Saccharomyces cerevisiae S288C: one gene and its partners. Each later gene encodes a partner of the first gene's protein in a complex. Each region holds a gene or a part of one and is shown on either strand. Other genes may lie near its edges.

Region 1 (3,147 bases):
TATTATAAGTCGATATTGCAGTATTAGTATTTACATGTTGAATAATGCACATTCTGTGCTAAAATATATACTTCATTTGTCAACTTCTTTTAGTTTGCCGCCATTTTCAAACGGCGCCTCCTCCCTAGCTTCGTCTAGAGCAGGCTTAATACCTTGTTTGACGAGAGCTGCGTTGACACATGTAGTATAAGCGTACCATTGTTTTGAGCACTCGTTCTCAACGGATTTTCCCTTCAGGAATTTTTCGCTATACCATTCATTAAAACAACTATCGTATTTCGTCTTCAGGTCAGTGCATTCAGGCGCAAAACTAGCTGACATTATATTCCCCATATAAAACTGGTATTATTGTTATTGTAATTCAAGTTAAAACACAAACAGATGTTTTCTAATGACCTCTCCCGGCATATATCTGGCGCACTTAGAATAAATTTCTACATGCAAATACTCTGAATATTCTGAATGTGGCTCTCCCTATATCGAAGAAAAAATATAGCGGGCCCATTACCCTGCGTTCTGATATTCATCACTAGTAAAAATTGTATGTACTTATTTATTCTATCTATTCGTAGAAAAATGAATGATGGTCCCAGGCTTTGGTACTTCTTTCGTACTCTCTTCTTCATCGGGCCCTTCGTTGTTATCATCCGCTTGTCCCTTCGGGTGGTGGTGCCCCTGCTTCAGAGGCGAGCTCTCTATATTATTGCTGTTCTCATCGTCGTTATCGCCGTCGTTATTAATATGTTCTTCATGAGCCAGTTGCTTCCGCATTTTATTGGGCACAATCGGAGACGGTACCATGCTGGAACTAGACCCGTACTGCTGCTGCAAAAGTAGCGAAATCTTTCTTTTGCGGCTTTGTCTCTGTATTGTACTTTCATCTTGCTCATCATCAGCTCCACCATGACCCTCGCCTGTAAGGTCTGTTTGCTCCCTTGAAGGCACCGCCTCTGAACCAGTATCTTCGTCGCTAGAGTCCGGAAGTTTCAATATCTGTCCCGTGGATGTTATATTCGCTGTGTGGAAATCATCTATACTGTCGTTATTAAACATAGAATGGACATCCCGGTTGACATGTACAGCTGAATCTGCCTCGTTAGGCCCATTGTCTGTCTGGGACTGCCTACTCGCCTCTTCAGCGGATGTAGGAAATATACCAACATTATTGCTCACAAGGCTTTTGACTGGAGCGTTTCCCACTGGTGCAGCTGCATTTGCCTGCAAATTCACCAGCCCAGTCTCTTGAAACATAGTCCCCAGCCATTCGGTGCTATCCATGATCCGCTCACATATTTCTGAATATGTAGCCACGTGTGGGATGATGTCCTGGGTGATCTTATGAAAGCAGAAACTCAAGTTAGAGTCTATCTTCTGCAGGTTCACTGTAATTTCTTGATCAAGTTTTTCCAATGTTTCCTCTTTGCTTGCAGAATCCATTTTTTGTGTCAACAATCCCTTATGTTGCTCTTTCCATACGTTGATCAACCTGGCTCTATTCCCACCCCAAACTGTAGATATCTATTTTGTTGATGCCTCAGCTCACCAAAACAAACCAAAAAAACGGAAAAAAAAAACGGAAAAGAACGGAAACAAACGGAAAAGAACGGAAAAGAAAACAGGAAAAACTCGCTGTTCTGTTACCCGCGCGGCACTACCGCATTTAATCGGAGTAGCTACTAATCAAGCAAGGGCCTCCGTTCCTCTATGACGCACCGGACATATCGCATTTCCACTATAATAGTGCAAGTAGGACGGGATAAGGCCCAAGATTATCAATGAAGACTAACACAACGGTCTTGCCAGCCATATCCAACTCTAAACATCTTCCACGGCTGTTCAAAAACGAAGATCTCTTACCCCTCTGCGGCTTAAGGGCTCTGTTCAATTGAAGGATCCGCGGCAGTAAAGTAAATGGATGAAAAAAAAAAACTGGAAAAATAGCAACTTTTTTCAGCCTGGAAGATTTGTCATCTAAGCGAAGGAGAATGAAACCGGAATTTTCACTCCTTCTTAGGGGCATTCAGTTTATAAATATAGTTATTCCCTGAAGTTGAGATTTACTGATTTAACATCTGGACAACTAAAAACCTAAATAATAAGACACAATTTTTTGCGGGATTTTTTTTCCTTTAGATACTTTTAACATTCATAGTAAAAAGTTCTGCTACATAGTAAAAACACATAGAAGGTACAAGCAATAGCATGATTCAATTTAAAAGTCCAGGTAACTGGCTGTTCATAGTACCCTGGATTGCCTTCATTCCATGGTATGGTATGCTGATAGCCATGCTTATTTGCTGGGCCAGTCAAGGCCATCCCATATATTGGTTCATGCACTCGGAGCAATTCCCTGTGTACATTTCAGATATAGGTGCCACTAATTTAAGGCCACTGTTTATATCGTGCGCCGGCTGGCAGGGTCTAGGCTATGTAATCACTGTTGCCCTTGAGTTTTTTCAAAGATCCGGCTATCTGCCTTTCCAACTGAAAAAAAAAGACCCTTCTATCTCTGATTCCACATCTTATGCTGAGAAATTGCACAGCGGTAAATACTTAATGCCTCCATATTACACAAAGGATGAACGGAACCTGATTTTCGCAGCTTTTGTTCTCGGCAGCATTGGTGAACTAGCCCTTTTATTCAGTTCCATCTTCTCAACCGCCCTGTACCATCGCGTTCACATTGCTATGGTCTCTGTTTTCGTCGTCTTCATGTTCCTATCCACTTGCTGCTTGATTGCAGAGTATTTCCTCATGGGAAGGCACTATGCCTCAGTCCACCCCCTAGCCAGCCCTCATTTCAATCCTCAATCATCTGAAAAAAGCTTTAACCAAGATTATAACACTGTGGATGAGCTGCCTTGGTATAAATGGAAAGGCCATGTATGGAATAAATTTACCATCAGTGCAACTCTAAAAGTTATATGGTTAACTCTCGCAGTTGTATGGGCCATTTGTTTTGGTGCTATCAATGATAGATCTAAGAGTGCTTGTTTCGAATGGTTGCTAGCATTTTGGTTTGGTATCATATTTATGATTCTTTCCGCCGACTTTTATTTAGGTGGAAGATACAGACAATCCCGCTATTTCAACCACGTGGAATCATTTTCGGGTTATTACAAGTATGACAAGGCGCTAGGCCTCTAC
Region 2 (3,246 bases), on another chromosome or scaffold:
ACAAAAAGTGGAAACTGTTACTAAATCCAAAGCAGACATGCATGATCCATTACACATTGGTGCACCAATGGCAGGTGTCATTGTTGAAGTTAAAGTTCATAAAGGATCACTAATAAAGAAGGGCCAACCTGTAGCCGTATTAAGCGCCATGAAAATGGAAATGATTATATCTTCTCCATCCGATGGACAAGTTAAAGAAGTGTTTGTCTCTGATGGTGAAAATGTGGACTCTTCTGATTTATTAGTTCTATTAGAAGACCAAGTTCCTGTTGAAACTAAGGCATGAACCGGTTAGTTCTCATTTATAATGTATAATATACCCGAATCTTATTTATTTACCTTTCCTATTTTTTGACGACCAGTAAATACTAATACATAATTAGGAACAAAAGTTAAATAAAAAAAAAAATAATAATTTAACGCATCCAATTAACGTGTCCTTTTTTCATCATTAATTTATCTACTATTTCGATTTAAATTCCATATACAATAAATCCTAGATACATTCCCGAAAGCATCTTTTAGCGAAACATCTTCCTTGAGCTGCTAGCAGTGGGCTTAGTCCACCTGTTAGTTACTCTTGGTATACCACTAGGTCTTTTCGAGGCAGGAACATGGGTCTTTCTTACTCTTCCGTTATTTGAAATTCCTGCCGAAGGAACGGGCCTTCTACCAGATTGCACACCGTACCTTGGATTTAAGCCTTGATTTGGTGGCTTTGCTGGTGCAGCATCCTTTTCACCCTTCCTATTTTCTAATTTTTGTCTCAAATCCAAGATCTCCTTCTTTTTCAACGCTATCACGTTGTGTAAAGTACTCCCATCTTCATCATTTGTGTTTACATTTTCATTGTGCAGTCTATCATTAATTAGCTTTAAATAGGTTTGATCGCTCATCAATTTATGAATATAACCAGCTTGAGAATGAATGTTGATCCATGAATCTAAAATGGAATTCGTAGATTTACATACCTCATGTACTTGATTAACGTATACTGGCAAGTTATTTTTTAATGCGGCCGTAACATTTTTTATCATTGCTGTTATTTTATCTAACGATTCTGATTCTTTGAGTAAGGATTGCGTTGTGATTGAATTAAACGATCTTATAGAATTGCTGTTAGCCGAAATATTATCGCTTGCTCCACCTCCTGTGCTTTTTGGAAATTTATTGGTCGTGTTATTGAGGTTAGATCTCATCTCATTGAAAATCTGTGGAATCAGTTTGTCTATAGTCGAATCATCTAATTGGCTTTGCTCACTCATATTGAAGACTTGTTCAAGTTTCAAATTATCTTCTTTAGTAATACTTGAGTCACCAGTCCAGATTACTTAGCCTATCTTTCTTTATCGCGTTTGATTTTGGCGTTTGTTTGTAATTATTATTCTTTTTTCCTTCGTTTCGCTGTGAAACTAACTTGCGCTGAGGTCCAAAAACCTCTCATCTAAGAATAAAGGAAAATACATATTATCCTGGGTCTAAAAGGCTAAAAGAACTCACCGTCAAGAGGAAGGGCTCAGAAAGTATGGGTGAGTCAATTGAAACAATTTGTAAAAGCCTTGTCAGGGCTTTCCAAGAGGAGAAGGATGATTTTGTCTCACTTGTAACAATCATTGATATGTACAACGAGCAGGTGAACTCTGGAAAGTCTATAAAAGAAAAGGAACGTTATTTGGATGCCCTATTGAAAATACTTAAGGATAATCCAGTTACCTTAAAGGAAATTGGCTGGGATCTGCCAAAGGGTTTATTGCAGTTTTTCTCACGCAAAAACATCAATGTCAATATACATCTAGTTTTTAGTCCCCTTGTTTCTAGTGTGATGGAATGCTTCAATGAGCTAGCCATCAATGGAAATCCGAAAGAATGCTTGTTGACCGCTTGCGAATTGGTGTCAACACTCCATATAGTCTTAACTGAAACTGGCGACTCCGATGAAGAGAATGAAGATTTAAATGACTCCAATAGAAATGATGCGTCAAACATTACTGATGAGCTGTCAGTTATCACTCCGGAGATTGGGCACTATATGGCCAAAAATACAGTAGAATTCATTCCAAATTTGAAAATTTACGTTCTCTTTGAATTTATGAGTTTATTGTTGAAACGTGTGGACACTTTATATCCATCTAAATTTCTAGCCATGGTAACTTCTGCAATTATTAAGTATGTAACAACCAACGTTCAGGCTATGGATGATCCACACTTTATTTTGCGCATAGTGTACAATTTTTGTACTAATTACTCTCCAGCTCAACCATCTGCTAGTCTGACCGATGGTATTAGTACAAACGATCTTGAAAAAATTCATGATGATGAATCTGCCTTACAGAAAAAACTACTGGCTAATCTGAGCGTATTCGTGATTAGCAACTGCCTAAAAAATCATCCAGGTAATATTGACAAGATATATTTCAAAACATTGATGCATAAAAAAACAGATGAAAATGAAATCGATGCTTCAGTTTTACAGATATGCCACCAATACTACGAGTATGTCACATCATTGGATGTCCACATGAAAGAACTTTTAGAAAAGTGCCTGGTAGAATCAAGAAGCATCTATAACTCTCTTCTCATGAACCCGGCCGCTTCCACGCCCGAATTCAAAGAAGAAATTAACCAACTAGTATATGAGGTATCTTACGCATATCAAATCAAGAAACTAGCTGACGAAAAGAACTTAGAGCTGGACCAATATGGAGTTGTGATTCTATCTGCAATACATTATTCTAAAAATGGTACTCACTTATTGCCGCAAATTGATATCCAAAGCGCAATTTACCTCTATCTACGGTGTACGACAGCTTCTTTATTTTCAGAAATATACGAAAATAAGTTTTTGGAAAGTTCAGTACGCTACTGGCTATGGGTATCCACAACCGAGACTTCCACAGAGAAAATAAAGTGTGCCTTACAAGAACTTCCAGGGCACATTACCACGGCCTTTTTGCAGATGTTACTGATGAAAACTTGCAATGAATCTAATAACGACACTAAGTTGACCGAAATTACTCTTCTGAGGAGGTTACTCTATCTCATGCCCGAAAGCACATCTTTTACGTTCATCTTTGAAACTCTACTACATTGTCCATATATAACTGCAAAGATTGCTGTTCTTGACATTCTAAGAGATATGATGATTAGATCTCCTGAGGCTGCTAATCGTGACGAAACTGTCGGTTTAATCGAACAACAGAATCCTGGGAATACCGCTAATAGTGTACCGATAATGCCAACTCTACC
Region 3 (2,695 bases), on another chromosome or scaffold:
CAAAAGGTCTATTACGACTTCTCCCATAGTCAACATCAACGTTGTAGAAAGAAGACTGTTTAATTTGGAATTGGAAAAACAACAACTTCGTGCCAAAAATCTGTCTGAGAACACAGGTGGCGGAAGCCCCAATGGGGGTGCTTATCTGGACGCCAAAAAAGGAGTAAGAGAACAAGATCAATACCAAGGAGGTCCCTCGAAAGAGCTTGACAGGCTACAACCACCACCTTCAATGAAGAAAAGCCCTCCAAGGAAGAAGAAGAGCCTAAAGGACTTGATATATGAAACGAACAAGACATTCTATCAGGTGGATTCTAACAAGGTTAAATATAAGGTAGGTCTATCCAAGAAACAGCTATTACCATCCAAAACGGTAGACAACTAAGTTCAAAGAGGAGAACGTTTGAAAAAGAGTTCGGTGGCCCTCCACTTTTTTCAACGTGCAAAAGTTGTCCACAACTTACTTATCATTAGGCTAAAATTACAATTTATATCTTACGTATCCTTTATCTAATTTGCGACTGTAAACATAAATTTAGGATAATATTAGGAGAGACAGAGGGAACCGCAACTTTACTTCGTTTTCGATTGAGATAAAGTAGGTTGCTCGTCGATGGGCGCTTCGTCTGATAAACTTTCCAACCCATCATAAAGTGTTTTCCACAAATCAGAAACTGACTGGAATTCTCTTCCCACAGCTATCGAGCTCTCCAATGATATATTGAGACCATTCAGACCATTCAAGATTGAATTCATAGTCTCATTGATCTCCTGCAATACTATATTCCTCTGCTCGATGAAGTATTTGTCAGTGGTTGATATCAACTTTTCTTCATCATTGGATGTACTAGCCATCATATGTACATATATCCTCACACGTCCGAGCTCTTCATCAGTCCTATTCCTACGCTAATTACTACCTCCTCTTGTTAAAGGTGACTGTTTATTCCCTTTGTTATTTTCGCGGCCTTGACTTTTACCCGGAGGTGGCCCTTTCCGCTCAATGGTTCTAGTGATCGCCTATAACCGTGTAGTCATATTCATACACGTACAAATTCGTTTGTCTTTTCATATATATAGTTATATATGCTATGCTCGTTTGTGTATTTATTGGATTATGCAATCAAAATAATGATAGTTACGAATAGATAAATGCATTTACGGACTGAAATAAGCGCAGCTAAAAGAATATTCATTAGTTCTATCCTTTCTTTTCAATCACTAACTTGAGCATCGTCATTGTATCTTGGTTCAGCGTCGAAAATAAGCTCGTATTTTCTCCATTTTTGTCTTAGTTTACTATTTGGATCATTATACATTTCTTCGTCTTCTTTGTCAAATTCATCTAACCAATCCCACTTACTGTTGAAGTTGATTTTCGAACCGGTGGCGGAGGTGAAACTATTCGAATCTGCTTCTTCGCTAATCATATCATTCATCTCTACTTCATCGAAAATTAACGGCATATCAGAAGTCAGATAATTCCAGATTAATAACAGATAAAACCTCAAGCTCTTCACACCTCGTAAGAACCCTTTATCTTCTATATTTGGCGATTTTGGGGGTATACGAAATTTATCCATACATTCCATTGCATCTTCTTTAGTAACACAACGTGCAAAATCGATCAAGTTGACTTTAACATTAGCAGCTTTTTTCCTTTTAGAATTTGATTTATTAGCATCTCCATCGTACATTAGTAATAAAGACGCGCCATATAGCCTGTAACCTTTCAAATTAAAAATTTCAGAATACAAAGTATCTAGTTGCTTGATCAACCTTGGAATTTGCCTGATTAAACTTTCAATGGTCTTACCATCATACAAAAAACGTGCAAGTACCCTAGCAAATTGCCAACCAACCTTAACCCTTCTACCAAAGTATTTATCTCTTGTGATATAATAATCTTTGTTCCAAACCTTTAATCCGCAGATTCTAACGCCTAAACGCCTAGAAGTGGTCTTTAAACACTTTGCACGCTGTGACAGTTGCTTGGCTCTTTTGGCGTCTACGCCATATTGTCTTGTCCCCATCTTTAGATCCAGTGCACAAGGCTTGTTCATGTTTCTTGTCAAATCTTCCAATAAGATAAATTTTGAAACAATGGTGTGGGACGTCTCCTCAAACGTAATTGATTCAATATCATGATGACTATAGTCATTTGAAACATTATACGCCAATGACTTTATAATCATGTTTTTACCAGAGTCAAGATGGCAGCCGTGGTTATCCATATTTATAGTTTCGTTTCCCGTATCTTCATCCATATCAAAAACACCATCTTGTGCGTTGCTGATATAATTCGGGGAGGTGGCAAATTCGCCATCATCTCTAGAATTGGTTGCAGTGAGAATGGGTGATAAAGAGTTGCAGAAAGAGTTTTTATGTTTTATTTGTTCGTTTTTGTGGAATTGCTTCAAATCCATTACTGAATGCGAGCCATCTAAAGCATTAGATATTTTTTCATGAAGCGATTTTTTCAAGAAAGGATCCTGCAAATTCGGATTGACTTTCGAGTCATCCATCTGTAAACTCGCTTGTGACGATGAATCACCAAGAGTCTTCATAGACGTATTCGATGCATCATGGGACGAGGCTCTTGATTTTTGTGTTAAAAAAGATGGACTGGAACCCAAACGCGCATTATGGTTTCCCATTGTAGTCGTATTAGAGTTTCTTTTCCTTCTAAAACATT

Evidence for each region.
Region 2: ASK1 (region 1) and DUO1 share a complex: the UniProt entries of both Saccharomyces cerevisiae proteins name them as parts of the DASH complex.
Region 3: ASK1 (region 1) and DAD1 share a complex: the UniProt entries of both Saccharomyces cerevisiae proteins name them as parts of the DASH complex.

What each region holds. Positions count from the first base shown.
Region 1 is NC_001143.9:339,110-342,256, forward strand, and holds ASK1 (Ask1p), read right to left. Parts: upstream 1,438-3,147; coding exon 559-1,437; downstream 1-558. Other genes in the region: MDM35 (Mdm35p), read right to left, coding at 73-333; SFK1 (Sfk1p), read left to right, coding at 2,203-3,147. UniProt on the Saccharomyces cerevisiae protein: Component of the DASH complex that connects microtubules with kinetochores and couples microtubule depolymerisation to chromosome movement; it is involved in retrieving kinetochores to the spindle poles before their re-orientation on the spindle in early mitosis and allows microtubule depolymerization to pull chromosomes apart and resist detachment during anaphase.
Region 2 is NC_001139.9:388,447-391,692, forward strand, and holds DUO1 (Duo1p), read right to left. Parts: upstream 1,266-3,246; coding exon 522-1,265; downstream 1-521. Other genes in the region: PYC1 (pyruvate carboxylase 1), read left to right, coding at 1-286; YBP2 (Ybp2p), read left to right, coding at 1,619-3,246. UniProt on the Saccharomyces cerevisiae protein: Component of the DASH complex that connects microtubules with kinetochores and couples microtubule depolymerisation to chromosome movement; it is involved in retrieving kinetochores to the spindle poles before their re-orientation on the spindle in early mitosis and allows microtubule depolymerization to pull chromosomes apart and resist detachment during anaphase.
Region 3 is NC_001136.10:477,901-480,595, forward strand, and holds DAD1 (Dad1p), read right to left. Parts: upstream 859-2,695; coding exon 574-858; downstream 1-573. Other genes in the region: HED1 (Hed1p), read left to right, coding at 1-385; inositol polyphosphate kinase KCS1, read right to left, coding at 1,215-2,695. UniProt on the Saccharomyces cerevisiae protein: Component of the DASH complex that connects microtubules with kinetochores and couples microtubule depolymerisation to chromosome movement; it is involved in retrieving kinetochores to the spindle poles before their re-orientation on the spindle in early mitosis and allows microtubule depolymerization to pull chromosomes apart and resist detachment during anaphase.